Linked DNA regions of Nothobranchius furzeri. The main gene of each other region encodes a partner of the protein of the gene in region 6 in a complex. Links are inferred from orthologs where the notes say so. Each region holds a gene or a part of one and is shown on either strand. Other genes may lie near its edges.

The links.
Region 1: lsm4 (region 6) and lsm3 share a complex: the UniProt entries of both Homo sapiens proteins name them as parts of the precatalytic spliceosome. The link is inferred for Nothobranchius furzeri from reciprocal best matches to the Homo sapiens genes LSM4 and LSM3.
Region 2: lsm4 (region 6) and sart1 share a complex: the UniProt entries of both Homo sapiens proteins name them as parts of the U4/U6-U5 tri-snRNP complex. The link is inferred for Nothobranchius furzeri from reciprocal best matches to the Homo sapiens genes LSM4 and SART1.
Region 3: lsm4 (region 6) and prpf6 share a complex: the UniProt entries of both Homo sapiens proteins name them as parts of the U4/U6-U5 tri-snRNP complex. The link is inferred for Nothobranchius furzeri from reciprocal best matches to the Homo sapiens genes LSM4 and PRPF6.
Region 4: lsm4 (region 6) and snrnp200 share a complex: the UniProt entries of both Homo sapiens proteins name them as parts of the U4/U6-U5 tri-snRNP complex. The link is inferred for Nothobranchius furzeri from reciprocal best matches to the Homo sapiens genes LSM4 and SNRNP200.
Region 5: lsm4 (region 6) and lsm5 share a complex: the UniProt entries of both Homo sapiens proteins name them as parts of the precatalytic spliceosome. The link is inferred for Nothobranchius furzeri from reciprocal best matches to the Homo sapiens genes LSM4 and LSM5.
Region 7: lsm4 (region 6) and lsm7 share a complex: the UniProt entries of both Homo sapiens proteins name them as parts of the precatalytic spliceosome. The link is inferred for Nothobranchius furzeri from reciprocal best matches to the Homo sapiens genes LSM4 and LSM7.

Annotation. Positions count from the first base shown.
Region 1 is NC_091743.1:73,197,565-73,201,812, forward strand, and holds the start of lsm3 (U6 snRNA-associated Sm-like protein LSm3), read right to left. Parts: upstream 2,801-4,248; 5' UTR 2,735-2,800; coding exon 2,714-2,734; intron 1,513-2,713; coding exon 1,402-1,512; intron 956-1,401; coding exon 860-955; intron 512-859; coding exon 431-511; 3' UTR 1-430. UniProt on the Homo sapiens protein: Plays a role in pre-mRNA splicing as component of the U4/U6-U5 tri-snRNP complex that is involved in spliceosome assembly, and as component of the precatalytic spliceosome (spliceosome B complex).
Region 2 is NC_091744.1:19,554,474-19,558,702, reverse strand, and holds the start of sart1 (U4/U6.U5 tri-snRNP-associated protein 1), read right to left. Parts: upstream 2,801-4,229; 5' UTR 2,472-2,800; coding exon 159-2,471; 3' UTR 1-158. UniProt on the Homo sapiens protein: Plays a role in mRNA splicing as a component of the U4/U6-U5 tri-snRNP, one of the building blocks of the spliceosome. May also bind to DNA.
Region 3 is NC_091755.1:59,889,708-59,893,814, reverse strand, and holds the start of prpf6 (pre-mRNA-processing factor 6), read right to left. Parts: upstream 2,801-4,107; 5' UTR 2,746-2,800; coding exon 2,567-2,745; intron 2,385-2,566; coding exon 2,222-2,384; intron 2,142-2,221; coding exon 2,023-2,141; intron 1,892-2,022; coding exon 1,813-1,891; intron 1,562-1,812; coding exon 1,385-1,561; intron 1,009-1,384; coding exon 895-1,008; intron 817-894; coding exon 722-816; intron 637-721; coding exon 480-636; intron 396-479; coding exon 233-395; intron 1-232. UniProt on the Homo sapiens protein: Involved in pre-mRNA splicing as component of the U4/U6-U5 tri-snRNP complex, one of the building blocks of the spliceosome.
Region 4 is NC_091757.1:37,093,686-37,097,669, reverse strand, and holds the start of snrnp200 (U5 small nuclear ribonucleoprotein 200 kDa helicase), read right to left. Parts: upstream 2,801-3,984; 5' UTR 2,571-2,800; coding exon 2,526-2,570; intron 2,372-2,525; coding exon 2,208-2,371; intron 1,801-2,207; coding exon 1,629-1,800; intron 1,548-1,628; coding exon 1,355-1,547; intron 1,250-1,354; coding exon 1,194-1,249; intron 1,102-1,193; coding exon 1,003-1,101; intron 917-1,002; coding exon 764-916; intron 685-763; coding exon 585-684; intron 494-584; coding exon 357-493; intron 280-356; coding exon 202-279; intron 124-201; coding exon 1-123. UniProt on the Homo sapiens protein: Catalyzes the ATP-dependent unwinding of U4/U6 RNA duplices, an essential step in the assembly of a catalytically active spliceosome. Plays a role in pre-mRNA splicing as a core component of precatalytic, catalytic and postcatalytic spliceosomal complexes.
Region 5 is NC_091747.1:62,679,562-62,683,199, reverse strand, and holds lsm5 (U6 snRNA-associated Sm-like protein LSm5), read right to left. Parts: upstream 2,285-3,638; 5' UTR 2,207-2,284; coding exon 2,161-2,206; intron 1,110-2,160; coding exon 1,014-1,109; intron 927-1,013; coding exon 899-926; intron 828-898; coding exon 755-827; intron 678-754; coding exon 645-677; 3' UTR 501-644; downstream 1-500. Other genes in the region: late secretory pathway protein AVL9 homolog, read left to right, coding at 2,849-2,935. UniProt on the Homo sapiens protein: Plays a role in pre-mRNA splicing as component of the U4/U6-U5 tri-snRNP complex that is involved in spliceosome assembly, and as component of the precatalytic spliceosome (spliceosome B complex).
Region 6 is NC_091748.1:65,762,208-65,766,456, forward strand, and holds the start of lsm4 (U6 snRNA-associated Sm-like protein LSm4), read right to left. Parts: upstream 2,801-4,249; 5' UTR 2,664-2,800; coding exon 2,661-2,663; intron 1,852-2,660; coding exon 1,810-1,851; intron 1,325-1,809; coding exon 1,226-1,324; intron 721-1,225; coding exon 540-720; intron 460-539; coding exon 353-459; 3' UTR 1-352. UniProt on the Homo sapiens protein: Plays a role in pre-mRNA splicing as component of the U4/U6-U5 tri-snRNP complex that is involved in spliceosome assembly, and as component of the precatalytic spliceosome (spliceosome B complex).
Region 7 is NC_091748.1:58,320,411-58,324,438, forward strand, and holds lsm7 (U6 snRNA-associated Sm-like protein LSm7), read right to left. Parts: upstream 2,759-4,028; 5' UTR 2,655-2,758; coding exon 2,649-2,654; intron 2,409-2,648; coding exon 2,318-2,408; intron 2,219-2,317; coding exon 2,147-2,218; intron 918-2,146; coding exon 775-917; 3' UTR 501-774; downstream 1-500. UniProt on the Homo sapiens protein: Plays a role in pre-mRNA splicing as component of the U4/U6-U5 tri-snRNP complex that is involved in spliceosome assembly, and as component of the precatalytic spliceosome (spliceosome B complex).

The DNA.
Region 1 (4,248 bases), on a different chromosome or scaffold from region 6:
CGTCATGTAAAAGAAAAAGAATGTTCTGGGACTCAAATGCAATCATTTAGCTAAAAATCAACATAAAAGTTGAGCAATTTAACAAACATTTCGCTCACAAGGGGACCCGAGTCTTTATAAACACTGGAATGACTCAATCGGAACTGATAAGATTCAGAAAAATGTTTTTCTACTAAAAATAATAGTATCTACTGAGGCCGATTCTTACAATCCCAGAATGTGTCAAAAAATAAAAAAAAGTGTCCTCACATCATACTTCCTGGGTTTTTCCCCCCTCAGACATTTTGCCCTAGAGAAGAGCCTCTGATTCACATGAAATTTAAAGATGAAATAACAGTCTAGCATAAGGAAAATGAAGATTTATAACACTCTCCTACAAAAATGGACACTTCCCAGAAGCAGTTACATCATCCTGTCAGGCATGGGGGGCTTAGCCGACTCGGAGAGGCGGAGCTACGAGGACAACGCCGTCTCCTCTGACAAACAACATGGGGATGTTCCTCTTGGTAGACTAAAGAAACAAATACAGTAAAAACATTTAAATAACAGATATTTTATTTAAATACTCACTAAAGTACCGTCAAATTTAAATAAAACTTGAGTTTCTGATCATGAACAATAATGAAACCTCGTAGAATCTTAAAATTCTGTTTTATTACTTTCTGCAGATCTATTCAGCGTTATGTTAAAGTGACAAGTTAACATCGTTTAACGTTTCTGCATCTGATGGATCTTTAAGCATCACCCAACAGTGGCACAAGTTTGCCACTAAGCAAACACAGCAAAGAGTCCAAAACAAAAGCTGTTCAGTAGAAATGTGGCTAGAGAGGTTTTTCTATGTTTGTTCATAAAAACTGACCTTATAAAGTTCTTCATACGTCTCCTCATCAATCTCCACTGTTGTCACCGTCTCCTCCACATCCCCCAGGATCATATTTAAGTGTTGGTCATACGCCTGGACCAGATGGCAAACATTAGTTAGGACATACAGGTGAAACTGGACAAAAGAGAATATGGTGCAAAAGTCCATTTATGACAGTAATCAAGCTCAGATGGAGAGACCATCTACAGGCTCAGGAACCCTCTGCAGGTGTTCTGGATTCATCAGCTGATAAAAGTCTGACACTAGAATATTTACCTGAACACAATATTCTAATTGTCTGAGATTATGAATGTGGGGTTTTCATCAGCTGAATGCCATAATCATCACAAATAAAGGCTGAAATATCTGGGTTTGCGTGGAATGAGTCTGTCTCATAGATTAGTTTCACCTTTTAAGTTGTTTTACTGACATTAGAATTTTCAGTCTTATTTTTTTTACCTGTTTTATCAGCAAGTATTGTGAAAAAACTGGATCTTCTGAACCGTGTGTGTGTGTGTGTGTGTGTGTGTGTGTCGTACATGTAGTCGACCGCGGAGCTCCCGGTCATTCCTCATCTTCACGTAGATCCGCTCATCCAGACTGAGCCTGATCAAATCGAGAGGCTCCTCCACCGTGTTGGTAGGTGGTTGCTGTGGAACACATTAAAATAATCATCAATGTACGGATTCCATTTTTTATTGGCATATTCATCAAATAGCAAACATTTAAAAACAAAACTAGTCGGTTTTTTTACACTCACCGGAAATGTTTTTAAAAATCTAGATTAAAAATATCCAATAGGGATGGACAATATATCGGCATCAATATCGGTATCGGCCGATGTTAGTCATTTTTAAACATATCGGTATTGGTCCCATAAATAAAACCGGGCCGATATTAATTTTTCTATCTCGTCTCCATTTGTTTATCAGTTTCAGAGGGTGAGGGGGGTGATGTGTATTTGTTTAATCATGTGACAGTGATTGTAATCACCTCAGAAGCGTAAATGTGTGTGTTGTGTGTACACAATAATGTAAATCCAGCTTTAATAATTTTCATTCTATATAAAATCTGCAGATTTTGGAAGCATTAATGTCAGTGTATATCGGTATCGGCAAATATCGGTTATCGGCCATAACAGTGATCTTAATATCGGATATCAGTATCGGTCCAAAAATTTATATCGATGCATCACTAATATCCAAACATTGTTTAGCTGAGTCTTTATATTGTTATTTATTCATTTTTGTTGTGTCTGTACAGCTTTGTTAAGGCTTGCCTTTAAAGACCAGGGCTTAGAAAACAAACCATCTGATAGGAAATGTAAAGAGAGTGTGCAGAAGTACTGATCAAACCAATTAAACGTCTCATGACTTATTAACACTATGGTATCTTTGTCACTAATATCTTTATTTTCAATTAAATTGCACATTACAGCTTAGAAATATTCATTTTAAATCATAAACTTTGATCCAAACAGTTTGTTGAGACTCGTTACTTACTAAAGTTAATAACTAAACACAATAGTTAAAGAAAACTCAATATTAATTATTTGTCCAATTTGCTAGACAAACATAACGGGAAAAGTCATTCATTAATCTTTCATTTGTGAGAATCTGGTAACTTTTACGCGCTTACTGATAATTTTAGGATGAGCTGAACGCTAGGTGAATGTGGGCTAACCGGTTTCACAGGCCTAAACACAATTAAACCGTGTTAGCAATTAGCAAAATGCTACGCTTGTATCCTTAGATTAAAGAAATGCATAAAGTTAATAATGCGCGACGAAGTCAAGCAACTGCACAGACGCTAAAACGAACAAAAGTGTATAAACACGGCAACCAAACGAACCTGCTCCACTTCATCCGCCATGATGCTTTAACTGGCCTAGTGCCTCAATGGGCTCTGAGGTCGCAGTCATATATACGTAGACGCCCCGTGGACGGCTGCCGTAGTGGCCGACCGCCATCTTAGTTGGGTCTCCATTCGCCCCCACTGCATTAATTTCTACTTAGGAAGGTGCTTAGCCAACTAAAAAACGCATTTTATCAAGCTTTTTCACAAAAGCTGATACAATATATGGCATGATAATTAAAATATAAATATAATTTAACAAAATAAATTAAAATATATTTAAATATAGAATTCCATGAGGTAGGCTTGTAAAGTTACTAGTAATCCCGCTTGATCTGTTTTCAAATTGTACGCCGGTTGTTGTAACTGTAGGCTGCACATAAACGGGCATAGACCTACAGGTCTCCCATTAGATGTTTAGAGTATCTTGATCTTGATGCTGTGAGGGTCGCTAGAACGGGCTATTTTGCTGACATCATTGATACAAACTGTAACAATTCAAAAATTCTCCATAAAACGCTTAACTCTGTCTCAGTGTACCAGGACTCTGGCATCATTTTTTCTACTGCTGCTGGAGAATGTGATGACTTTCACAACTTTTTCACTAGCAAAGTCTCTGCCATTAGAGCTGCTATTTTTGGTTCATCTACAGACCCTGATCCAGTTACTCCAATACAGTCCACCCTGAGCTATTTTAATACTCTCTTATTCTGAGTTGTCTAAGCTTGTCTCAGGGCAGAAGTCGTCTAGCTCTCCACTCGATGTTTTGCCACCTCGTCTGTGGAAGGAGGCCTTTCCGTGTTTGGGTCAGTCTCTGCGTCTGATCATTAACGGCAGCCTGAGCACTGGAGTGGTTCCAACTGCATTAAAAGCTGCAGTCAGTAAACCGATCCTGAAGAAACCAGAATCTGATGTCTCTGTGCAGACAATTACAGGCCAATCTCTATTCTCCTTTTCAATTTGAAACTTCTGGAGAAGGTTGTGTGTCAGCAGCTTTGCTGAGAGACTGGGTAGGCATATCAGGATCTGCTCTGAAGTGGTTCTCCTCTTATCTGTCTGAGGGTTAGGGTTAGGGTTAGGTGCTTCTCTGTGGCCGTCTCCAAGTTTGGGTCCTCCACCACCTCCCTCGCCCATGGTGTCCCACAAGGTTCTGTGCTGGGCGCTCTACTCTTCCTCCTCTATCTGCTCCCTCTTCAGCACATCCTGAGCTCCTTCAAAGAAATCTCCAACCATCTTATGCAGATGACATCCAACTGTACATCTCCTTTAAGCCCCATGAGATGTCGAAGTTGCAAGAACTTGGCAGTGCATTTCAGAATCACTTGTTTTTCTCCACTGATTTATTGCTTTTAACCATTCATTAGAAAATGTGTGCAGGTGCAGTTTGGGACACATGATTTATTTATTTATTTATTTTTATCCAAACCCTTATGTATGACTCATTGTCTGGTGACAGGACAGGAGCATGGAAACTGGTGGGCTGCTCTGCAAGCTCCATGCCCTTCTGGCTCAGTGATCTGAAGTTCAGCAGA
Region 2 (4,229 bases), on a different chromosome or scaffold from region 6:
TTTAAATTATTGTTCTTTTAGGAAATTCACAAGACAAATGAAATAGTTTACACCTGTACTGATTTTCTTATACTATTGTTATATCAACACTGAAGCAAGACCATAAACTAGCAATAATCTCAAAAGAGCTACAACAATAATCATTTTCCCCTACATATTTATTTAGTGATGGTGTTTGCATTCATGCTCTTCCCACTGCCACTGAGGACGATGTACGGCGTTTTCTGAGATTTCTGTTTCTCTTGAAGCAAAGCCACCGTCCCCAGAGGTGTATCGCTGCTGCTCATCTTCTTCAGCAGCGCTTCCTCCTCCAGCTTTTTCATCCTCCTTTCAGTTTTCATCTTTCCAGAACCTTTGCCGTGGAAACGATGCGAAAGCTGCCTGAATGCCTCTTTTGGGGTGAGTCTGCGCCCAGACTCATCCACATACTCAATTTTGACGTCGGGTTTATATCCATCCTTTTCCTTGAAATCCTGCGTGAAGCCTCTGTATTCTTCCCGGCGACTGTACTTATCATCAAAGCCCATCTTGTCCTCGATGCAGTAGTTGTCATTAGGCAGGGACCCCTTTGTTGCTTTGACACGAGCCACCTTTTGCATTTGCGTGTCCAGCAGCCCTTTATTTTTGCACAGCAGTAAAGCAGCAGCAAGGCCAGAGTTCACGATGGGTTCCTCATCCAGGATAGTGGCAGAGGCTGTGGAAAATTCAGCATGATTTTGCTCCTCATCCAGGTTAACTGTGCTCCACCCAATATTTTCATCCATTTCGGAGTCTGAATCTCCAGCATCATCTTTCTCTTCTTCCTGTTCAAAGTCCATGATATCCTCCTGGTCTTCCCTGTTTCCAGACAGTCCATACGTTGGAATATCACCCAGAGTTCTGCAGAACTCAGAGGTGGCATTGAAGACAATGTTATTCCTCTTGTCAGGATCATTTTCGTCACCGCCTTTAACAAACCGTCTGATCTGCTCTGCCACCTTCTCCCCGGAGTCTTTGAGAAGCTGCTTCTGCCTCAGCTTCCTCTGTTTCTCCAGTTGTTTCTGCAGCTCCTGCTCTGCCTCATCCTCCTCAATTACAGCTGGCTCAGGAGGCGTGAAGTTTTCTTCATCACTCATTTCCATTTCTGCCGTCCTGATGTCATCAGACATTTGGGGGATTTCATGTGGCCAACGCTCGCCCTTGCCTGTATTCTCCTCTTCGTTGTCCTGTTTGCGGCCCCGACCTCGTGCTCGGGAGCCAAAGTCAGAGCTGCGAGTGTCATCAAGGAGCTCATCTGCAATTGTCTGCTTCTCCTTCTTCCTGATTTTCTTCACACGGCGTTTTGTCTTTTTAAAGCCAACCATTTCCTGAGGCGTGTAATACTCCGAAGCGATAGCAAGAGCAGGCATTTCCAAAGACTGGGCCTGGTTTTGCAGCGTTTCTTTCATAGCCTGCAGCTCCCGTTCTCGCTCCCCATCAGCAAATCCCCATGTGCTCAAACGAAAGCTCTTTTTCTTTTCACCTTCAATTTCTTCATCGTATTTTGAAAGTACAGTGCGGGGCTTAAAGGTGACCATGTCATCCACACTCTCCTCTTCTTCGTAGGGCTTGTAGTCAGGCTTTTTCTTTTTCAACTCCACATTCTTTTCTGCTTTTTCCTTGTCCACCAGTCCCACGTTCACAAGCACATCCTCCTCTTCTTCCAGGACACCTTTGTCTTGCAGGGTCAGAATGACAGTGTGGCCCTCCTTGAAGGAATCAACCTTGTGCTGCACTTTGAGGCCTTTGAGATCCCGTGAAGAATAAGAATCCAATTTACTTTGAGCAAACTCCTCTTCAACCAGATTGCTGACACCAAACTCCTCATCCATCTCTTCCAGAAGTTTGGCTCTTTTCTCTGCCATTTCTTTCTCTTGTGCCAGCTTTCTGCTTCTTTCAATCCAAGCGGCTGTGTCATCGAGCCAATCATCATCTGCAAGGTTTTTGACTTTGCCCAGTTTCTGATTGAGGAGACGTTTTTCTTTCATAGCTGCAAGCTTCTCCCTCATCTCTTTCTGCTGCTGGATGAGAACAGGGTTGATGGTCTCAGCCACCAGTGGCTCCTCTTTGGTTCCAAGTTCTTTCTTGTTCTCATTGAGTTCCAGAGGCTTTAAACCCAGCTTGGCTCGGAGTTTGTTCGTTTCCTCGACGCTGAGGGAAGCATCTCCACTTGCACTCTGAGGCTGTATTTCTGCACTGCCTTCCTCATAGCCAGGATCCAATTTCTCCCTCTTTATACGAGTCTCGCCACTGCTTTTTTCCCCTTTGCTGCGACTATCCCGTCTGCTCCTTTCCCTGGACCTGGAGCGTTTTCGTTTTTCTCGAGTTCCATCCCGATCTGAGGCATCTCTGTCTCTCTCTCGTTCTTTGTGCCGATGCTTCTTATGTTCACGACGGCGCTCTTCTGCGTCCTTATCGCGACTCTTTTCCTTGTGTTTCTTTGAAGAACCCATGATTTCGTCCGCTGTTTACAACTCCAGAGTCGTAGTTCCGTCACAGTCAAGCTGCGTACGCAGTCTCTTCAGCTGTATTGATGTGGTAAATGTCGCGAACTTTTCTCCCAACTAGGTCGAGTTAGCTTCAAAAGCTAAAGGGTTAGCCACGTCAAAACTCACTCATTTCGGGGAAAACTGCATCATATTTTCGATATCCAGCATCGGTGGAAAATACGTGGAGTTTCGTTGGTTTGTTTATTTGTAGCACCTCGCACCAGCATAAATACTAACAACCACGTTTTAAGTTTGCTACTTCGACGAAACGAACATACAACGACAACGAATTCGTTTCCGGAAGTCAAGTGGTAGAAAAAACTTTGCTCGCCCTGGTTGTATATCGCCCCCTGCTGGCTGGGGCTTTAACAACCGGACATTAACTGACAAACAAACGCTTTTAAATGTTTTAGGAAAATTGTTTGATACTTTACAAAAAGTACACGAAGTGCAACACAGCGATTTACTATCTCCTCTATTTTGGCGCAGTTCCTTTACTTTAGCTTGTTAGCTTAGCAAAGGTTGCAGCCTGCAACCTGCTGTATTTAGCAAGCCGTGATAGCATTTAATGAAGCAAAACATTTCCATTCACTTAAAATTTTAGATAAAGTTATAATAATTCCCATTATCAAAATGTATTTCTTACTTATCGTAACTGAAATAATATCTAGAAGTGCATTCTGATCAGTAAAAACACATTTTAATACTGTAATTGATATTTCAATTGGAAACCCCCAGGTTTAGAGTATTTAAAAATGCTTTTGATTCCAAACGGTCATTTGAACATTTAATGGCTGGGATGTTTATCACTTTCAGATATACATCAAAATTAATTCTTCTCAGACAAAGAGAAAAAGTCAGATGTCTAGCAATGGTTTCTGTCTACCAACAACAGCATTAAGGATTTTTTCAAATTACATTTTTCTACTTCAGCTTTTGCATTTATCTGTATTGAGCTCCAGATATCAAAAAGGGCATTGTGCTAATGTATTTGGCAGATGCTTTTGTCCAAAACGATCTATAAACAAGGATGTAACAGTACTTGCATCTGATTCTAACGATAAACTGATTAGAGGAAAGAACACTAGGCTCCGACAGAGGAGTATGCGAAAATAGTGTAGAAATGAATCAGAGTGCAACATAGATGGAAGTGCACAAAGAGATGCAGTGGAATAGAGGAAGGGATGGGTGGATCCTAGGGTAGGAGTAGGTGTAACATTATGGATATCATATCAGTTCACATGTTAATTTCACTCATTTTTATACATACTACATTTTAAATTTTACTTGAATCTGTTATGCTTTGGCTGCATGTTGGCACAGTGGTAGTGCTGTTGCCTTGCTGTATTTCAATAAATAAAGTTTGAATCAAATGCTATTTCATCAAGTTCTTAATAGATATTTTAATTATCTTTCAAAATATTTGTAATTGCATTTGTTGCGAGTTTCTCAATAGATCTATACACGAGTTTACCACTATTCTTTATTTTGTGTATTAAAAAAACCTTTGAATATGTCACCTAGGATAATAGATACGTGAATTGCGTGTTTCCCTCAGTAAGAATCGTCAGATCATGCCAGGATAAGAAAGAATAGAAGAAATTGTTACCTGGATGGCTGAAATGTCTTTTAGCACGAAACCCCCCACGATGGATTGAGCCCAAGTAATAAATGACAAATCGGCTTGCTTGTAACAGCATCGTGCTGCTTCTGTTAGCCATT
Region 3 (4,107 bases), on a different chromosome or scaffold from region 6:
CAAGTGTAACTCCGATAGCTTTGTGAGGGTGATTTCATGAGACAATCAACAGATTGAGACTGGCTTTGAATTTCAGCCCTGGAGAAATGAGTGTCGTCCTTTTCGCAGCAGAATCAAACTCATTCACACACGAGCTGCTGGGAAGGAACGTGAACCTCCGTTTATAACCACAAAGCAGTGAGAAGCTTCTGATGATAGTTGCAGACAGAGAAAGCAAAATTAAAAGCCTTACCCTTTCTGAGGACCCTCTTCTTAGCACGGATGTCTGTTTCGAGCTCAGCAGCCCTGATGTAGATGCGGACAGACTGTGGGAGGTGGCGAACAGCCTGAGCAACCACAGCTTTAGCCGTATCACCAGGTTGGAGCCTTGCTGCCTCTAGCCACACGTCCTCACTCTGGTTAAGAGAGAGATATTTTGTTATTGAAGGTTATCAGCATCTAGCCTTTGTGCATGGAACCAAAGCAGACACCCCTTTTACCTTAGGACACATCTCTGTGCCCTTCATGATCAAGTTCCTGGCGACCTGCAGCTTGCCCGTCACCTCTTCAAGCCTGGCAGAAGCAATCCAGGCCGGCGGGTGATGGGGATTAGTCTCTCTCACAGATTTCAACAGCAGGCGAGCCTTCTTGATGTCGCTGGGTGAGATTTAGGTGTAATTCATCAAACACACATAAGAAGTTATTTCAAAAGGAAATTTTCCTATGGGCAACTTTTCTATACCTGATGTCTCCTCCATAAGTGGGGATCATGGAGTTGAGATCTGTCAGGTAACCCTTAGGATCCACCACTGTCTGTCCACTGACTGAATCAGACACCTTAGTGGAGAGAAAAACAATAAAAACAGGTAAAATCTTGATAAATGTGAAAGAAGCTCAGGATTTAGATAGGTCTACCTGACTGAGCCTCATATCCATGAGAGTGTTTCTGGCTTGACCGATTTTCCTCATATCCAAGTCTCCAGTTCCAGGAGTCATGCTGCCTGGGTATGGTGTGTTCAGACCGCCCAGCTACCAAGACAGAAAGCAGGAATTGTGTTACAGCGTGTGTGAACAGCTAAAGAAAGCTGAATCCTTTCTCACAGCTATAACTGACACACGTAAAAGATGCTTTATATTCTGCAGAACTAAACATGGAGCCAGCTCTGTCTAAGTAAACACTGCTGTTTCCAGTTAAAGTATTTAAACATTGCATGCATGAAATCAAGTAGATAAATGAATAGTTTCAAGTTTAAACATGAGGTTGATGCTCTTAAGCAGATATTTACTGACAATATAATGCATGGCTGCACATCTCTGAACAGTTATTCTGACTCCTGCTGGGGCAAGGTGAAACTACAACAAATGTTCGGTGACCTGCTTGTAGTGTGTTTTCATGACTACTAACCCCTTGTAACGGATCAACAGATGTGTGGTTTTCTCCGGTCTGCAGGTGTTTAGAGAAGAAGCTGTCAGGGACCGGGGTGAGCTTCTCAAAGCGAGGATTCCTCTGTCGCTTGTTCCTGGCATCTCCAACTTCAGGGATGCTCAGCCACTCCTCCTCCGACACCTCTGCTAGTTTTCTCTGTAATTAAATGATAAAACAGAGATGCGTGTCTGATCCTAAGAGAGATTAATAATTGTAATTTCATGTGCCTTTGCATTACCATTTCACAAATGGCAAATAAGATCACAAATTTGTTTAAAAGCACAAAAACATGAATGCAAACAAATCAGTATGCAGAGTCAGCTGTTAACCTGCACAAAATGCATTAAAGATAGATACCTAAAAATAATGGCATCGTGAATACAATAGAATAAATGTGGAAAACTTACCTTCAGATCTGAGAACTGCTGTTGGATTTTAGGACGCTCCATACGATATTTTTCTATTTCTTCCTTTTCTCTCAGCTCCCTACGAGCAACCACAGACAGTATCAGAAACACATTAAATCAACACAGGGATGAAAAAGGGATGCTCTGTGCACTTATTTTGTAGGTGTTTGGTCTTTTTTGGTCAAGAGGTAGATTAGTTTTATAGTTTACCTTCTTTCTTTGCGCCGTTCATCCATTCTCTTGTCAAGTGCCGCATATATAGCATCTGCTTCTTCATCGTCCTTTTCATAAGGCCCACTGGAGAACAAGCTGCCAGCGTAACCATTAAACTGTACAAGGAGCAAACAGGAGTTATTGACTGGATGCACTGAAGTATTAAATGCCAACAAAAGCATTTAGTTATTGAGACCTCGTCATAGTTGGTGTCGTTTAGATCTTCGTCATCATCATCCTGATTCTTCTTCATCTGGTCACCAACCGTCCTCTTCCCTGGGGGAGCATGCCGATCATCCACGGGGTCGTTGGCATCCCGAGCAGGACCGATGTCGGACCGGGTGGTGAATCCTGTGGCACTGAAACCGCAACATAACCCTTAAGATCGGAGATTTGTCCTTTGTTGCAAACAGCACAAACCATTGTTATAATGTATTTAAAATGTTGTTTTATTTGACACTGCATGCAGAAGGTGGACAATTCAAGTTGTCAACAAACACGCAACTGGAGGAGCTAACGACTTAGCATCAAATTAGCTTACCCTCTGCCGAGACCAGGAACGTAACCTAGCGGAGCGGGCATCCCCAGAAACGGCTTCTTCTTTTTCCCCATAAGCGGAGAGGCAAGAGGTATTACAGGGGGCGCGCCACTCGCCCCTGTGCCCCCCGCGCTGGTTTTGGAGACAAGTTTAGGTGTTTGTTTTGCTCCAGAGGTAGCCATCGTTGCTGCAACGACGTGCACACTCACTAGCAGATGAACAACAGTTTAACTTCCGCTCTCGACTCCTTCCTTTTTCTTGTTTTCTGTTACAGCGCCCCCAACAGGACGGGCTGATTGATTGACCGCTAAAGTTTGCCACACGGGTGCGCCAAACTGTAGAAAATAAAATAAAAATACAATTAGATGGAATAAAGTTAAACTGAGTAAATAGTATTTATCTTTTAGGATATGCTACTCTAAACACCAAAACACAATTGTCTAAAATAGTACAATGAGGGAAAAATATATACTTATATACATGCATATATACAATGTTTATATACAACATAAACACACACACACACACACACACACACACACACACACACACACACACACACGTGATATTTATTTATACTCAATTTTAAGATATAAAAAGAAAAACTAGATAAATCATAGTATCTTCATCCATCCTAAATGAACCACCTCAAGTTGTGCAAAACTGAGAACGGTCATTTTTGACTGGCCTAATGCAGAATGCCTCATCAGTATCTGGTTCATTAAAAAAAAAAAAAAAAAAAAAAAAAAGAAAAGCTGTCTCACTCCTACGTTGGCAGTCCTGGGTTAGAGTTTGAAGTGGAGGTAGGGTAGAGTAAGATAAATACTCATACATACTGTTGTCATTTCCTCTCTAGTTTGTTTAGTAAAAAATTATTACCTAGACATTGTTTACAGAAACAACTAATGGACCTGCAGCCCTAATTAAGACAAGGATGACTCAGATGACATTTGATCCCACAGATAATTAGGTTGCCAAATTGAAAGAAATACATCATTTTTTATGCTGTTTGAAAATTGAATACAATATTTTCACTCCTTGCCTGTCTGACTGCACATATATTATATTGCTTGTAATGTACATAGTTTTAGGTCAAATGAGCCATGCATTTGTGATGATTTCCATTAATTCCCATTAGACACATGCCAACATGCTACATCAATAACTCATCTGACATTTCAGGTTCAGAAACCTACACTCAAACAGAGATGCCAGAGTGCAATAAGTAATTACATGCTAACATGACATTTTTGGGATCTATCTCATGAGATGATGTGAAACCATTCATCAATTAGTTTCAATCGCATTAACTTCAGCCGTCTTCACTCCTAGCCTGGGATCCAGCCTCTACATCTTTCTTCATTTACATCGCCTGAAGGGATGGTGTTATTTTACCCGTGGGAGAGGATGTTAGGGAAGAAAATTGACCGTCAGATGGATTAGATGCTAGGTGGTTCACATGTACAAGGACAGATTTAAATATGAAGCTTAATTCAAACTGCATTTCCTCCCATCAGTGTGTTTTATGTCCTTGTGAGTCTTTA
Region 4 (3,984 bases), on a different chromosome or scaffold from region 6:
ATAACCTTTGCGCTGCTTACGAAAAGAGCCATCGGGCAACTGACAACGTTTGTTGGCCATGAAGTGGCTACCCTGAGTGAACGTCAAGTCTTCGAGGTCCAGAACCTGCCGAGGGACTACCGACTGTAGGATGAGAAACACAAATGTTCTCAACACACACACACTTTTACCCGGCTACCTGGACCATGTCACACTAGTTACCTCTCCATGACCAATGTCCATTGACTCCAAGTCATCAACACGAGACTTCCTCACCCTCTCCCTGCGAGATCGCTCTTCCTGAATAACAAAAACAAAATATGGAAAATCATTTCTTGCAAAGTGGTGACAAACAGTTCAAAACCAAGATGTCTTACTCTAATAATGTCCTCTTTCTCCGTCTCTTGCAGCTGGTACAGGATCTTGGACAGCTCTTGGTCAGACTCCATCTTTCCTATGATGCGTTCCTTCTCTGCTTCGCTCTGAGCGCTCGCCAGCATGGTACAATACTGAACTGTGAGTCAGACAAGATAAAAACCAGCAACTTCAAATAAGTTGTGCAACAGAACATCATAGCCCAGCGCAATTCAACGAGCGCAACTTACTCATGCGACGGTGCTGACGGAGGATTTTAATGAAATCAAAAGTGTTGAAGCCTAAAAGCAGCACCAGCTGGTTCTCACATTCCCTGTCGTCGCTGGCGGTCTGTAGAACAAGAAAGGCATCAGGTGTCAAAAGATGCTACGTTATGCTGCGTGACTAATAAAAACAGTGAAAATCCCACCTTGAGGATTTCTAAGACTTCGTCGGCTTTCTTCTGCGAGACAATAGCATCATCATAGAAGCGGCTGAGCTGACGCTGGAGCCAAAAGGCGTCAATGTCTCGAGGGTGCAGGTCTTTTTTCTTCACCGTCATCACGCCACCCGTTTCGCTAAGCTACAACAAAACAGAATTCAATTTTTAAATCAGAGAGAAGAAAACTGTGGAAATACCACCTGAACCAACAAAAAGGCTGTACTTACATTGGTTGTAAGCCTAGTGGACACAACAGCCTCCTCTCCTTCACTGTCTTCATCCGAGTGCTCATCTCGTACTTCACCAAACTGGTCTTCATCTCCTTCCTTTATATAAGTAACAAGACGGGGGGAAAAAAAATCACTTTTTCATTTTAATCAGTTTAAATACAACTAAGACATTAATAATTAAAACGTACTTCTTCATCAGACTCAAACTGGACATTGACACCGTACGTCTCATCAATGTTGTCATCTGCAGATAAATAACAAAAGATTTAGATGATTTGATAACAGCTTAAAGAGAACATGGTCACCAAATAAACGAAACACTTTATTAAGATATTTTAAAGTAGCTTACCCATATTCTGCAGGTCCTTGTCTTCACCATAGTCTGTGATCTTCTTTCCCAGATTGACCAGCACATGATAGCGCGTGTCATCAGAAGGTCCAAGAAGCTGTTCCACTTCACGACGCCTTTCTTTGTCCCTCATTTTGTCGTTCTTGAGCACCGCTAACACCTCATCAGCTGCTCCACACAGAATATCACGCGGCTGCAGACAATTGGAGTTCACATCAGCTGTGCGTTCGCCATCAACAGTGCAAAAGTCTTAAGTGTTGTGACGTTCACTAACCTGGTCTCCTAACGCAGCATGAATGAAGCTCAGCAACACTTCGTACGTCTCTCTGGTTTCTTTGGTTTTAGGCTTGTACACAATGCCCACCATCTCATCGATGCCCTCAGACAGGAGGGTAAAGCCTTTCATTTTGTTGATATCATGTCTGTCCTCATCTCTTTTACGTCTCCTGTTGTGAGATAAAACGGGATAGTTCAGATTTTTTTCCTCTAAACTGCAATCAATCTGCTGTCTCCTACAGATTAAACATATGCAGCTGTTCCACATCAAACCCCACTTCAAACAGCAAAACTACACCTTTTAAGTATATGGTGCAATTACATGCTTCACACGTTTGTTAATGACAATTAAAGGAGGATGAAGGTCAAAGACGGTTCTTTTCATTTCATTTAAATCTGAATAATTCTATTACTGTCCTAATTGAGGTATATTTCATGTTAAATGTGATCTATTCAACGTTCAAGTAAATTATAGAATGTTTTAAATTGTATAAGAATCATACACACGAAAACACCACCTGTACCTCGATTCTAACAGGTAAATGGTTTTAAAAACATCAGTGTTAGCTGCACTGACTTGTCTCGTCTCTCTTCGAGCTTCTGGGGTTTGGTCCTCTGAGCCTTGTCACCCATCTTCGTCCCCTCCATTTTCCCCACCAGGGACACCACCTCCCCGGTGGATTCATCTCTCCGAGTGCGGTCGATCAGAGAACGATCGACTTGCAGCACCAAGTTTGAGTTCTACAAACACACAATTAAATGAGACCCATCAGTTCAGCGGGCTGAGCTGCTTCGGCTCCGGCAACACGATCCACTAAACATCATAATTAGAAATCACTAGTCACAGAAACGTTTAATAACCCCGAGTTATTATATTTACACCCAACATACTTACCGCTTTGTACTCATACTGCAGGTTACGAGCAGTAACATCCGCCATGGTGCCACTTTTCCTCCGGGGTTCACCGCTCTCTGTGAACCAGCACGCGCACTAGTGAAGTTCACAGAGCTGACGTCACTCTGTACTTTTGTTAAAACGCTGTGAACATTAGTAGCGTGTTCTAATTTCAAACATTAAACCACTTTTACTCACAAACAGAAAGTAGCGTTTTTCATACGTAACAAAAGCACGGCTAGCACGAGCGCACAACAAGTGGGCAGAAATTTCCTCTTCCGGTGTCAAAGGGAATGAAACAGACACAAAAGGTAAACAGCGCCCTCTAGAGGCTTGGTGTAAATCATTCAATTTGGATGTTATTCGATATTTTTACATGTCGATGGCTAAATCTCACGAAACCCAGATGGCAAAAGTTCTGACGTTCTCTAATGAAGTACAAGTACACATTTTTGTATAAAAATGCTCTGGTAAAAGTAAAAGTATTTAGTGACCGTCTTTATTTAGTAAAAAGTAAAAAGTACAGGCTCTAAACTGTACAAAGTCAACAAACAAAAAATAGAGAAAGGGGGACAAAAAGAAGTCTTCCTCTGAATAAAAGATGTGTCATTGATGTACCACTGATTGGTCTTTCAGATGAATTTTAATGAAACCAAGAACTATATGATGACAAAATCAAAATATTTTAGAATAGAATAGAAAATGTCCTTATTGTCCCTCCGTGGGGAAATGATTGTGTCAAAGTCACAATTACTGCTGGGTTTCCTTTGATAGGAAACTTTTAACAAGTCTCAGTGGTAAACTAAATTAATTGCACTAATTATTAGGTTCAATTGGAATGTTTACTTTGTTGTGAATTGGGAATTAATAAATAAAGTTACTGAATTGAACTGGGACCGTGTGAAGTTTTACGTAAAATAAACATAGGCGTCAGTTTAACCGGGGACGCCGGGGACATGTCCCCGGCAAAATTTGTGATTGGCAGCTGTGTCCCCCCCACTTTCAAAAAAGCCTGCTGATGAGGATTTTTGTTTTACCAGCTCAGGGGTCAGCAACCTGTTCCCATCAAAGAGCCATTATTACCCGTTTCCCACAGTAAAGAAAACACCGCAGTAGCCGCAGCGTTGTGGGCGGGGCCTACCCTCAGACAGCAGAGGGCTGCTCACAACCAGGTGACAGCAGCAGGTACAGGTCGCTCGCATGGACATCGCACCCGTGGGGGATTCAACGCCCACACTTTTCCAGCTGTTTTGCTCACCTCCACACCAGTCTGGTTTCTTTATGTCGCACTCACTCTGTTTGCCTCATCTCCTTCTTCACCTCCGCTTCTAACAGCCGATGTCGGGTTTCCAGGAGAGCAGGAGAGGGAGTGACGGAAGAGCTCGACTGAATTCATAATTTTACATCTTGACATTAGCTGTACAAAGTCTAAGTTTGATAACGTGAAGAACAACAATTT
Region 5 (3,638 bases), on a different chromosome or scaffold from region 6:
TTTGTCGCTTCTATTTTTCTTCCGTATTTCCTCTTGTTCCGCCATCTCTCACAGCAAGATGAGCGTCAGTAACGTGATACGTCATGAAAACCGAGGGCACCCATTGGCTCATTTCTTCTTCTACGGCTCCACTGGTAGATCAGTGGCTCATTACTGCCACACACTGGCGGCAAATTTAACAGCTTGTAACCGATGTCTGATTGTGGTAAAAAATAGACTTTATGCGGTAAAATATGATTATTAAACAACTAATCGATGACTAAAAAAGTTGTTAACTATTTTAATAATCGATTATAATCGATTAAGTCGATTAGTTGTTTCAGCTCTAGATCGGTTCCACGTTTTTTGTTCATGAGTCAAAAGTGAAACTTCTCATTTAGCTTTACAGTCCAACAAAGACTGGATGCTGGATTTTATCACTGGTTTCTGATGGTAACACTTCATTTTGTCCCAATGTTTGCACTAAATTTACTTTTTATGATAAATAAATGAAACAAGGATGTTTTTCAAACAGATTTATTTGCAACAAAGACATCTTAATTCCCACGTGAGACCTGCTTCTTTTACTAAAAACTGAACAAAGAATGTTACAAAAATATGCTCCAAAAACCTGGAGAGAATAAACAAAAGACACAAAACAGGATTTACACTTCTGGTCCTTCTCCTCCAGGAATGAGCTGCAGGAGAAATGAACCCGACATGAATCATCCAGCTGAGTGATGTTTGAGAGAGACCGAAGCCGTTTGTGTCCTACCATGGTGATGTTGTTTCCATTGAGGAGGATCTGATCCAGTTTGGTTATTCTCCGTCCTTCTGGTGTGATCTCGCTGGAAGAAACACCAGGAGATGAGCAGGATGAATGAGGCAGACACCGGTTAATAAAACAACGTACACTTACAATTCTGTCACATCCTCCAGCACCATGTCTGAAACACACAGTTGAGGACCAAATCTGAACATGTCACCTCTGAATCACGCACTACAGCTGATCAGCAGCTTTTAAGGAAGGATACTGACAAAGTCATCGAACCCCAGCAGGGTGCCGACGATTTCTTTGTCGGTTTTCATGACGATGTGAATTCGAGAGCCGATACATTTGTCCACAAGCTCTGAAAATATAACAGGTTAGGTTATTTTCTACAGTTTTCAGTTTGATTTTAACAATTTTCTAAATAACTAATGTGATGTTTAGCATCTAAAACCAATCAGGACCAACTACTAAAAATCATTTTTTCTTAAGGGAAATACTGTTGAGGTTTGTACTGCACATACACTAATTGGCCAGTAGGTGGCAGAAGAATATGACTAAATCTAACTGAATATATGTCGATGGACGAAATGAATTTTCTTGTCAGTTGTCAACGAAAGTTGTTCACGGGTGTGACTACTTTGAATTTAAATAACACAATAAGTTCAGGAGTATTATTATGACTGCTGCAGCTCAGCTTTTGCTCATGTTCAGACACGGACAGGTGTACAATCAGCACGCCATCCTCATTAAGGCACCCGAGCTGGTTTGACTTTTTCAGGTCATAACTGCTGTAAAATAGGACACAATCACTTCTTTTAGTTTTTAGACTGCCACAAATACTCCTCTGTTAAAATAAATTAGGTAAAAACTCACGCTTGAACACGAAATTATTGCTTTATCTGCAGCTAGCTAAAACCTGCTGGTGTTGCATCGAGATGTGTCCCCCATCTAAACCAGAATCTCCGGGGGTTTTCTTTAAAACTTTTTCTTTAAGCTATAATATGTTTTAAATGGTAAAATGTTCCTTATTTGACTTTTATTAGTAAATTAATGCAAGCAATAAAGATGGCTGAACTAAGCATAACCCCCACGAGTTCCTAAATTTATCAAATACATGCAACTGCTTACTTCACAAATTACACATACTGACAATTAAATCCGTACACCACAGATAATATATTTTAGCAGGAGGAACACAATCCTGTGACTAGAAATCTTGTCAGGAAGCGGGGACACGGTTTACTTCGGTGAAAAGATCTGTACGTAACACCGGCGTGATTTTACCGCTAAAACGGCTCACTTCTGTTTGCTACTCACTAAATTAGAACTGCTTGTTCGGTTCTTATTGAAATGTATCTAAAGGCGAAACTATCTGAAGCAAGAACGGAACAAAATTAGATTTTACGAACCCAGAGGGAGCAATTGTGACGGGTTTGTCGCTTGAGTAGCCGCCATGACTTTCTTCGTGTGACTGCAGCAGTCACAACCAATCGAATCAAGAGCAAATCGAATTCAGGCAAGAATAGACAAACTCTGATTTACTTTGGAATGCTATAGATAAAAAAATATACTTAAATTCCCCCACAAAAAATAATAAATAAAACATCCAAAACAACAATCACTTTAGAGGCAAAAATATTTGAGTATAAGACTTAAGTATGGATTTTGCAGCATGGAGAGTTTATTTGTTTACTTCCTGTTTCTGGTTAAGTTATGCTTGACTGATTTTAGGATTTGATCAAAATCAGATATTCGCAAGAAAATATGTCAGTAGATTCATTGGAAACAGGTTGTTATAAATTGTGTAAATGCGACTTGAACCAGTTTTTCATTTAAAAGCTAATGCTAACAGCTAATCCGTGCTCTGACCCCGATGGATCTGACAGAATCGGTAACGCAAACACGGAAGTGAGGAACAGGGAAACATCTTGTTGAAATCTAGCTGCAGCGCTGTGTGTGTGTGTGTGCGCGCGCGCGTGAGTGTGTGTGCGTGGGAAAGATTCGGGGCTCAAACTAGGCTCCGTTCGCTGTGTTTACATCCGAACCCCCTGAGTTCACAAACGCCACCGGACCTCCAGAACAGAAGACTGAGGGAAAATGGAGTCTCACGGCAGCGAAACTGAAGGGAAGGGGCCGGTGCTACACATCGTGGTTGTTGGATTTCACCATAAAAAAGGCTGTCAGGTACGAACCTGCTTCATGCTAACTGTGGCTAGCTCTGGTATAAAGGTGCATTCCTACTAAAACATTAGAATGGAGGGTTATGGTCCAGCTCACTGCAGGTGAGATGGATTTGATGCAGATGGAAATATTAATTTTAACCGTCTTTGATTTCTAGCTGTTTGTGCGGAGTTATATAACATCTCTTCTGGCTGCCACCTCAGATAATTTTCCAGTTGTTTCCAGCAGCTGCTCACCTGATCCCACATCCGGTTGGATCTCCATACTAATTGATTATCTAATGTTCAGTAACGGTGATGGGCAGAATAGGAAGAAACAACAATAATCAAAGATGCTACAAGCTTTAAAAACTGCATCAGAAATATCTCAGTTCCTCTCAAAAATGTGAAATTCGTTATTTTCCTTTCAGTAACTTGCATTTTGGTATTTTCTAACTGACTCTGAAGCAAAACTTCCTTTTATTTGGTGGCATGATTAAACCCAAGTCCTAAAGTAGTGCATATTTTCAGAACAAATATTTTATTCATACAAACATAAAAAAGAGGCTTTCTTGTGACATCACAGCAGCCACACCTCCCTTTAGCTCAGCCTGCAGGCAAACCACTTTTCTCCCACAAAACCAGATCTGGATGCTTTTTACCTGAGTAACACACTCAGAGCTCAGGTGTGTGTAAACGTGCTAACATGAACTTGGTGCCTTGCTGCT
Region 6 (4,249 bases):
ATGCCGTCTTATAAAGGTTTAAACAGAAATATTCAGGAAGTGAGTCCTGTTGGCTGTCGCTCTACTGCTTCACCAGCTGTGGTTATAAAGAAAATCTTTCAGATAACAAAGCTGGAAGTAAACTACAGAAATGAGGAAAAAGCCAGTTAAAATATCTACTAAACTAAATTTGGGCCTCGACTTTTCTACACCAATAAAAAGGATTTAAAAAAATCAAACTAAAGTATTATCTGGCAACAATCGGTTGTTGTAAACATCACAACAGAGAGAAACAGCAGAGTTGATGTCATTGTTACTGAGGCAGACGTCCCTCAACAGGAAGTGTTTAAAACAAACGAAGCATCATTGTGTGTCAGTGCTGGTTTTTCATCCCCTGTGGTTTTCCTGCTTTCTTATCCTGCTGCTGCTGCTGTCCTCGACCAGGCCCAGACATCCCTCTCCCACGACCACCAAACACACCTACAGGAACAGCTGTGTTCAGTCCAACAAATCAATTCTACATGAGTTCAAAACCAACCTGATCAAACGGCATCCTTCACCTCGGCCGGGCCCTCCTCTTCCTTTGCCCTGTTGTTTATTCTGCTGAGAGCCGCCGCGACCTCGTCCTTTCGACACCACCTCCTCCCTCACCATGTCAATGATCTCATCTGGGATACGCAGATATTTGATGGTGCTTCCTCGGATGTAGCACTCAGGCATCCTCCAGAATTTATCTCCATCCTGTAAAAAGATGGTGAGAGTTTCTGTTTAAATTAAATTCCTCAATTAATAACACTTCTATTTTGCATTTATGTTAATTTACCTAAAGTCTAGCACAATAAACCCGACTGAGGGGATAATAGGCAAATGATCATGTTTAGTTGTGATCACCCATCTTTCTTTTGTTTACATGTACAAAAACACCACAAAGCTGCACAATTTAAAAATTATTACAGTCACTGATGGTCCAGTTAGCGCACTGTGTCTGTTCTTACAGTCACTATGAATCAATCATTGTATCTCAGCTGTTGTCTGAAGCTGTTCTGATAGTTTCAGTGCAGGATTCTGCAGACTTCTCAGTTCACATAGGCAGGCTGTCCTTCACAACACAGTTGTGCAAATATACTGTACATACAAATGTCTCATGAGAGACCAAATATGAAAGCACATTAAGCAAATTAAAATATTTTGGTATTTTCCCTTTGTCAAAAGGTCACATTTTATTAAAGGGAGAAGCATGTTTCACCCTGGATGTGCAGATGACTTCTCTCAGGTTGATGTTCATCCAGTTGTCACAGCTGACCAGGTGACCGTTGTAGGTCTCTCCATTCTTCAGCTCCACCAGCTAATAAAGAGCACACTGCTTTATAAGCTAAAAATCATACAATGAGCAAGTTCTAATAACAGATCAGACAAACTAAACTAAAGTCAAGAACAAAAAATTAGCTCTAATCATTAGCTAATTAGAGTGTGACTCTTTGAGGCTAGAATATGAACCTTTTCACAATATTCTAGTTGTCTGATATTTTGAATGTGGGGTTTTGATAAGCTGTAAGGCAAAATCATAACAAATATAACAGATAAAGGCCGAAACATCTGGCTTTGCATGTAATGAGTCCATCTCATACATTAGTTTCACTTTTTAGTTCAATCACTGAAATAAACGACCTTTTGCACCATACTGTATTTTTTTTAAGTTTCACTTGTAATTTACTAAAGCAGGTTATTATTTACATAGAGAACAGATGCTTCTTCACATAACTAATGACACAGCCTAAAGGATACAATATTGTAAAGAATATCAGACTTAAAATCAAGGTTTTGCCTCACCATGGGATGATTCTGAGCGGTCTTTAAGAGTGACAGGGGAAGCTGAAAATAAAACACCAGATTGAAATCTAATTTAACAGAATAGACCTCATTTACAGCATTATTTCTGACGCATAATAAACCGCATGAAACCAAGAATCCAGAGTCTACTGGAGAGCAACCACCCGATCAGAGGCTCTTCACCACCAACATCAACAGTTTTACCTTCAGACAGGAGGCACACACTTTCCCACAGCCACCAGACTTCTGAACAGCTGAGCTCCTGACGCTTAATTTCTACTTGGTACATTAACATTTCAGTCTGATTATTAACCTGTTTACTTTGTACCTTTATCTGATACTGGGATTATAATCCGCCTTTAACTAACTGATACACGTTCCAGCTAATGTGGGACATTACTTGCACAAATGTGTGCAACAACTCTGCATAGTTTCTTTGCAGTTCATATTTTGATTAATTTACTGTATTTTGCATGCTTCTTTAACTTTTTAAAATCTAGTTTTTACACCCAAACGTATACATTTGGCATCCAGTGTGAGGAACAAGGTAATTTTTGCTGTTCTTATGAGAATATAGAGTAATTCACCCCGAACCCATAAAACTACAGAATTAAATCAGGTCATTTAAACACGTTTATAACACAACAACACTTCTGAAGTTGTGGTAGGTCTACTGGCTCCTGAATAAAGCTAAATGTTACGGTTTATTTTAGCTACATGCTTAGCATCTTAAAGCTTTCACTTCGGTATAATTTATTAAAAATGTTAACACGGTTTCCGTCAGCCGAACCAAAGATGACCTATTAAAGAATACATTCTCAACTACCCACAACTAGAGGTTAGATACTCACCATTATGACGGTTTATAGCTTGTTTTACGCGGCGAACCTAAGGCTGTGGCGAATGGTCGAATCCAGCTTTCTTCTTCTTCTGGCGGTCGAATCCAGCCTGGGGAAAGGATTTCCTTTTAGCCTTCTGCGTTTTCTTATTCTACTACAAACGGCGGCTTCACCACAGCACACTGCCCCCTAGCGTCGAAACCTGCACTTTCTCTCCGCGCGTTTTATTTTGTGGCCACACTGAGACCACTGTTTAAACTTAAAAGTGTCTGAATAGATCATTTTCTTAATTATGAGAACAAACAAGAGTCTTCCGAAGGAGTAGTTTGAAACCAGCAGAAAATATAAACAGTGCTAAAGTTTCATTGGTAAGTCACTTTGATCAGAAAAGCTTTTTTACAGTAATTTATAACACATAATTATGAACACACTCCATATTTTAATCAGTTAGAACGTGATGAGAATAAATGAGCTCAATAAGTAAAAAATTTTTTGTTGATACTTCATAATTTATTTATTGGTGAAGATATTATGTGATGCTGTTAATTGTATAGGCCTGACCGCAGTAAAAGGCTGCAGCAGTCTTACTAAAGCCATAGCTTTCATAAAAATTATATCAAATTATTTGTCTTCAAGAGTGAATTTTGCATAAAAAGACAAACATCTTCAAATGGGAGGACATGGCCATTGCAAAGTGGTAAATTTTGAAATTGCCCCATTATACTAAATGTTAAGAGTAATAAACCATTAGAGGTGTCAGTTAAAGATTAAATGCACCATAACGTCTATAACTAACAATGCACATTCTTGGCAGGTTGTCCTGCACAGATCCTTGGTGCTATATTTTGTTAATGTTGTAAAGTTTATAATCTGAGTTATTTGTGCACTTGTAAAGAATGAGTCGTTTCCATCTTACTTATGAACCATAAAATGTGAGATTCCATAGAAATATGAAATATCAATCTGATGGATCTTTGACTACATTTTTTTTTCAAAAAGTATATTTTATTAAATTTTCTGTGTACACCTTTTACACAGTATTATGTTGTATATTGAAAGTACATTCTGTATAAAATCATCAGGGAACAACAGAACAGTAGAACAATATAACAATTTTGGTTGTGCTTCGGCTTTTGGCGATCCTCTCCAACGTAAGAGCATATATAGTACTGAAGGCAATATGCACATAGACATGTTTAACAAAACTGTGAGCAAGAAGTCCCCGAATTACACCTCGCTTTTGCTTCTCCCATTCCAGTCTTAATGCTGGTCAGAAGACCGAGTATTTTCCTATACTCTCCCACTTTATAAGTCCTCAGATTTTTATGTCCATCTTCTTAATATATGTTAGAAAAGGTGTCCATATTTTGTCAAATAAGTGTTGCTTGGCTTTTAAGATATAAGTAATCCATTCCAGCGGCATTACCTGTAACATCTGTTTCATCCAGTTCTTCACATTGGGTCTATGGAGAGATTTCCATGCCATAGCTATATACTTTGTTGCTACTGTAGAGGGTCTGCCCTCATGAGAAATTGCTACTCAGTATTTTCTCCAAAAGACTGTGTCATTTGCTCTGAAAAGCTGGAATATGTTCCAGCGC
Region 7 (4,028 bases), about 7.4 Mb from region 6:
CACTATTCTAACCTACTTTTAGGAGGTTTCACATCCAGTTAAGTAAAAATTTTGCCATTTTAAAAAACAGCTTCAGTTATCTCACTTAAAACTCATCAGCATTTTGTTTCTGCGTTTCTCCAACGCCAAAATCTACTGAAGATCCTTTCTTTCAAAAGGAACAATCCATAGATATCATTACTTTACACCCCCACCCCAGCTTAATGCATTACTGACTTAAAAGCTGTTAATGCCACATATGTGTCTTTGTGAGTGTGCAGACAAGCTTGAACGGTTTATCTTCAAACACAGAAACTCCCTTTAAACCTAAACACACTCATCTTTTTTTTTACTGCAGAGTTCAGTAGTCTGTAGACCCATCGAGTCAGTCACAACCAGCAGGTAGGGGACGTCTGTCGGGTCAACAAAACCACTCAGATCCTTGTCACCCTTTCGAATAGACCATATCTGGTGTAACTTTCCAACACGTCCTCTGTGTTCAAAGGAGAAAAACATTCAGATTCAGCTTTTTTTCCACTTTATTTTCTTATCAAAAACAAAGAATAGTAAAAAGTTCACTCAGATAACAAGAAATTTGTTTTAACACTTTCAGAACTGGGAGCTCCTCACAACACAAAAATGAGCAAAATTAGCAGGGAAATAAAACTGAAGTGCAACGGAGCCTTATTTTACCAGTGATGAACTTAAAACATGTTTGTCGTCTGAATGACAAGTGTCCTGTAATGTTAAAAAAGAAAAGTCTAATCAAAAGTGTGCCACGCAGCAGCATGGGGGTTATCCATCTTGCTGCTGGATGAATGGGTTAGGAATGGCCTCCATGCCATCCTGAGGACAGATCAGCACCACAGAGGTTCCTCTGCAGACCACCAGCCCCAGCTGTCGGGTGTCTTCTGTCAGCTTCAGCTGGTCGTCTGGATCTGCACACAAAGCCACAGAACGTTCACACTGGAAATGTCAAGCAGCTGGGTGTCCACCAAGCATTTTACCGGAATGCACTCAAAACTAAAACATGAATGGTGAGACCTTTGATTTTTTTGTTTTGACCATCTTCAGTTCAGATGTATTTTTCAAAGATGTTAAGTCCACACAAGACGACCACTTGTAACAGCGATAAAAAACCAACAACATTTGATTTGTTATCACTGTTAAAAATCTGCTTCGACCACTAAAGAACAAACCTCAAACTGAAAAAAGCCACTCATCTTTTGTTTGGGGATTTTTAAATCAATTTAATTTCCCCCCACATGTTTCTGGTTTTTGTTCCACCCGAGTGGCCTCCATGACTCCTCTGAATATTAGCTCAACCCTCCCCTCCAAACACTAAACTGAGAATTAGAAACTTGAGCATTTTTCCAGTGTTTGTTCAAACTAGCATCACATTTTCAACAAATCCACAGTGATGGTAGAGGAGATAGGTGGAGTAACCTTACAGGGTAAGAGCACAAAAAACACAACCAGCTACTTACCTTTACCTGGAAACAACACACTGTTCCAGTAGAGAGGTGTCTACACAATGTTTTCTGTTTGTTTGTACAAAAAGAAAACAATTCCACAGATGCTTTTACACACAGACTTTCTTAATTTTATGAAACTGAAAAATTAATCTTACATACAAGGGCGTGATTTGAAAATTTGGAAACCTTTTTTCAATTTGAAGCCCAGAAAATCTCTCGGATTATTTGATGTTTTAGAATGAATTATTTAGAGCCTGTGAATTTTCTTCTTTTAAACATAGCAGCAACATGTTTTTGTCTACATGTAATTATATGTAATGTTCGTCCACTGAAGATAATCTAAAATTATGTTGCTTTTATTGTCAAACAAGATTAGCACGCACGCACGCACACACACACGTATTCCTGATAATTTACTGAAAAACAAATTAACTCAAAAAAGTGAAGTAGAAAAATGTCTCTTAAACATGCTCTGAACATGAACATAATGTTTTGATCAACATGCTTATTTTCACTAACTGTAGATCGTTTTAAAGATGACGGTAGGGGCGAAATTAATGCGAATTATTACTTTATAGTTATGTGTGTTGGGGAACTTCGGAATGTGTTCAGGAAAAGTCCTTCATCGATATAAACATGGACTCAGACTGAGGAGCAGTTTTCTGGCTGGATTTGAGTTTTGGTTTTCTTACCACGCATGTATTCGATCGTGCCGTCCAGCACCAGGTTCAACAGAGGATCAAATCCTTTCAAAACGCCGCTTGCTGAGAAGAAAACACAAATTTTAGGCTTCCACATAAGGAAATCTAGACATTTACTGCTTGCACGAAATGAAAGGGTTAGCAACAGCTTGGTCCACCCACCCTCTCGTCCACCTTGAAACTTCACCCGAATCGTCTTGTCGATATACTTGGACAAGTCGAAGATGCTCTCCTTCTTTTTCTTTTCTTTATCCTGCAGAAAGGCCAGGTTACATTGTCTTAAGTCACTAATTAATCACAAACAAAACGTAGCCTTAGCTTAGCTCACTACTAGCCACGTTATTTAAGTAAAACGTCTACCGTCACAGCAAAATAAAAGTTGTTCAAGTCGACTTTTGTTCAGAAAACAAAGCTAAATCTTAACAATACAAATGTGGATGTGAAAAGATAAAAAGTAACACAATATAATGAAAGCCATGGATTACGAACTCACCGCCATATTTACTGTCTGACCCGGAAGTAAATCTTAGACCCTAGGAAATGATAGTGATCCAATGAGATAACGCGTTCAGAGGGTTCAGAGAGGTCCAGCTGTAGACCATAAAAAGTAAAATGAAACAATATTGATTTTTGTAAAAGTCTCGGGACTACCATCTCTACTAAAACGTAATGAGTTAAATACACACTCATGTGATTGTCTTAATACGCTGTCAGGCTGGGAAAAACGTTCATCTTTCTCAGCTGCATTGTGCGTTAGCTAATAGCTACAGGCTACAATCTCAGAAGAAATCTACGCCCTCCAGTGGGGATAAACTGCAACTACAATCAGGTTCTAAGAAGCTAGAAGGGAACGTTCTAGTCTCATGGCAATGAAACTGGGGGGGGGGGGGGGGGGGGATCATAATCTGTATTTTTGTTTCTTTTGGTTGATGGAGATGGAGAAGAGAAAACTGCCTGTAAATTCTTTCTAAATAAAACGCTATAACACTTTTGTTATCAGCGAGTGGGAAACTCGCTCTAACAGCCTTTTTCGTTTATTATTTAGCTAAATTCACAATCAAAACAGTATGTAACAGTGTTAAAAACTATGCTAATACTGAGTTCACAACTAAAGACAGTTGGGGTTGCCGATCAGCTTGTATGTTTTTGGTCTGCTGGAGGAGCATGTACCCAGAGCAAACCCACACATGCATGGAGAGAATGAAAGGCCGTAGCCAAGGTTTAAACCTATGACATTGTTCCTGTGAGTCACCAGTGCTTCCAACTGCCCCACAATGAAACCCTTTTTAAAATAAAATGTATACAGATGAAACTCAAAAAATTTGAACATGGTTCAAAAGTTTATTGATTTCAGTATAAAAACCTAAAAGGTGAAACAAATTCATGAGATAAACTCATTCTATGCAAAACCAGATATTTCCATCATTTATTTGTTATAAGTGTGATGATTATGGCTTACAGCTTACGAAAACATCTAAAACTAAATATCTCAGACAAACAGAACGTGCGAGAAGGTTCAATACTCTAGACTCAAAGTGTCGCACTCTAACCAGCTAATTAATCAAAAACATCTGCAAAGGGTTCCCGAGCCTTTAGATGGTCTCTCAGTCTAAGATGGATTATTGAAATAAGTGAACTTTTGCACCATATTCTAATTTTTTGAGTTTCAGTATTGTTATTGGGAAAAAAATCAATAACCAATAAAGGCTCTCAGCATGGAGCTTGCTCCAGTCATTGACATGAACAAGCCAGCACACTGAATTAGCTTGGTCATGACCCACACATGACTACTATTAATAAACCCTGACTGTGTACCAGTTGGTGGGTTGCAAACCACAAGTAGGTCAAGATATTTTGGTGAGGCTGTTTGCAA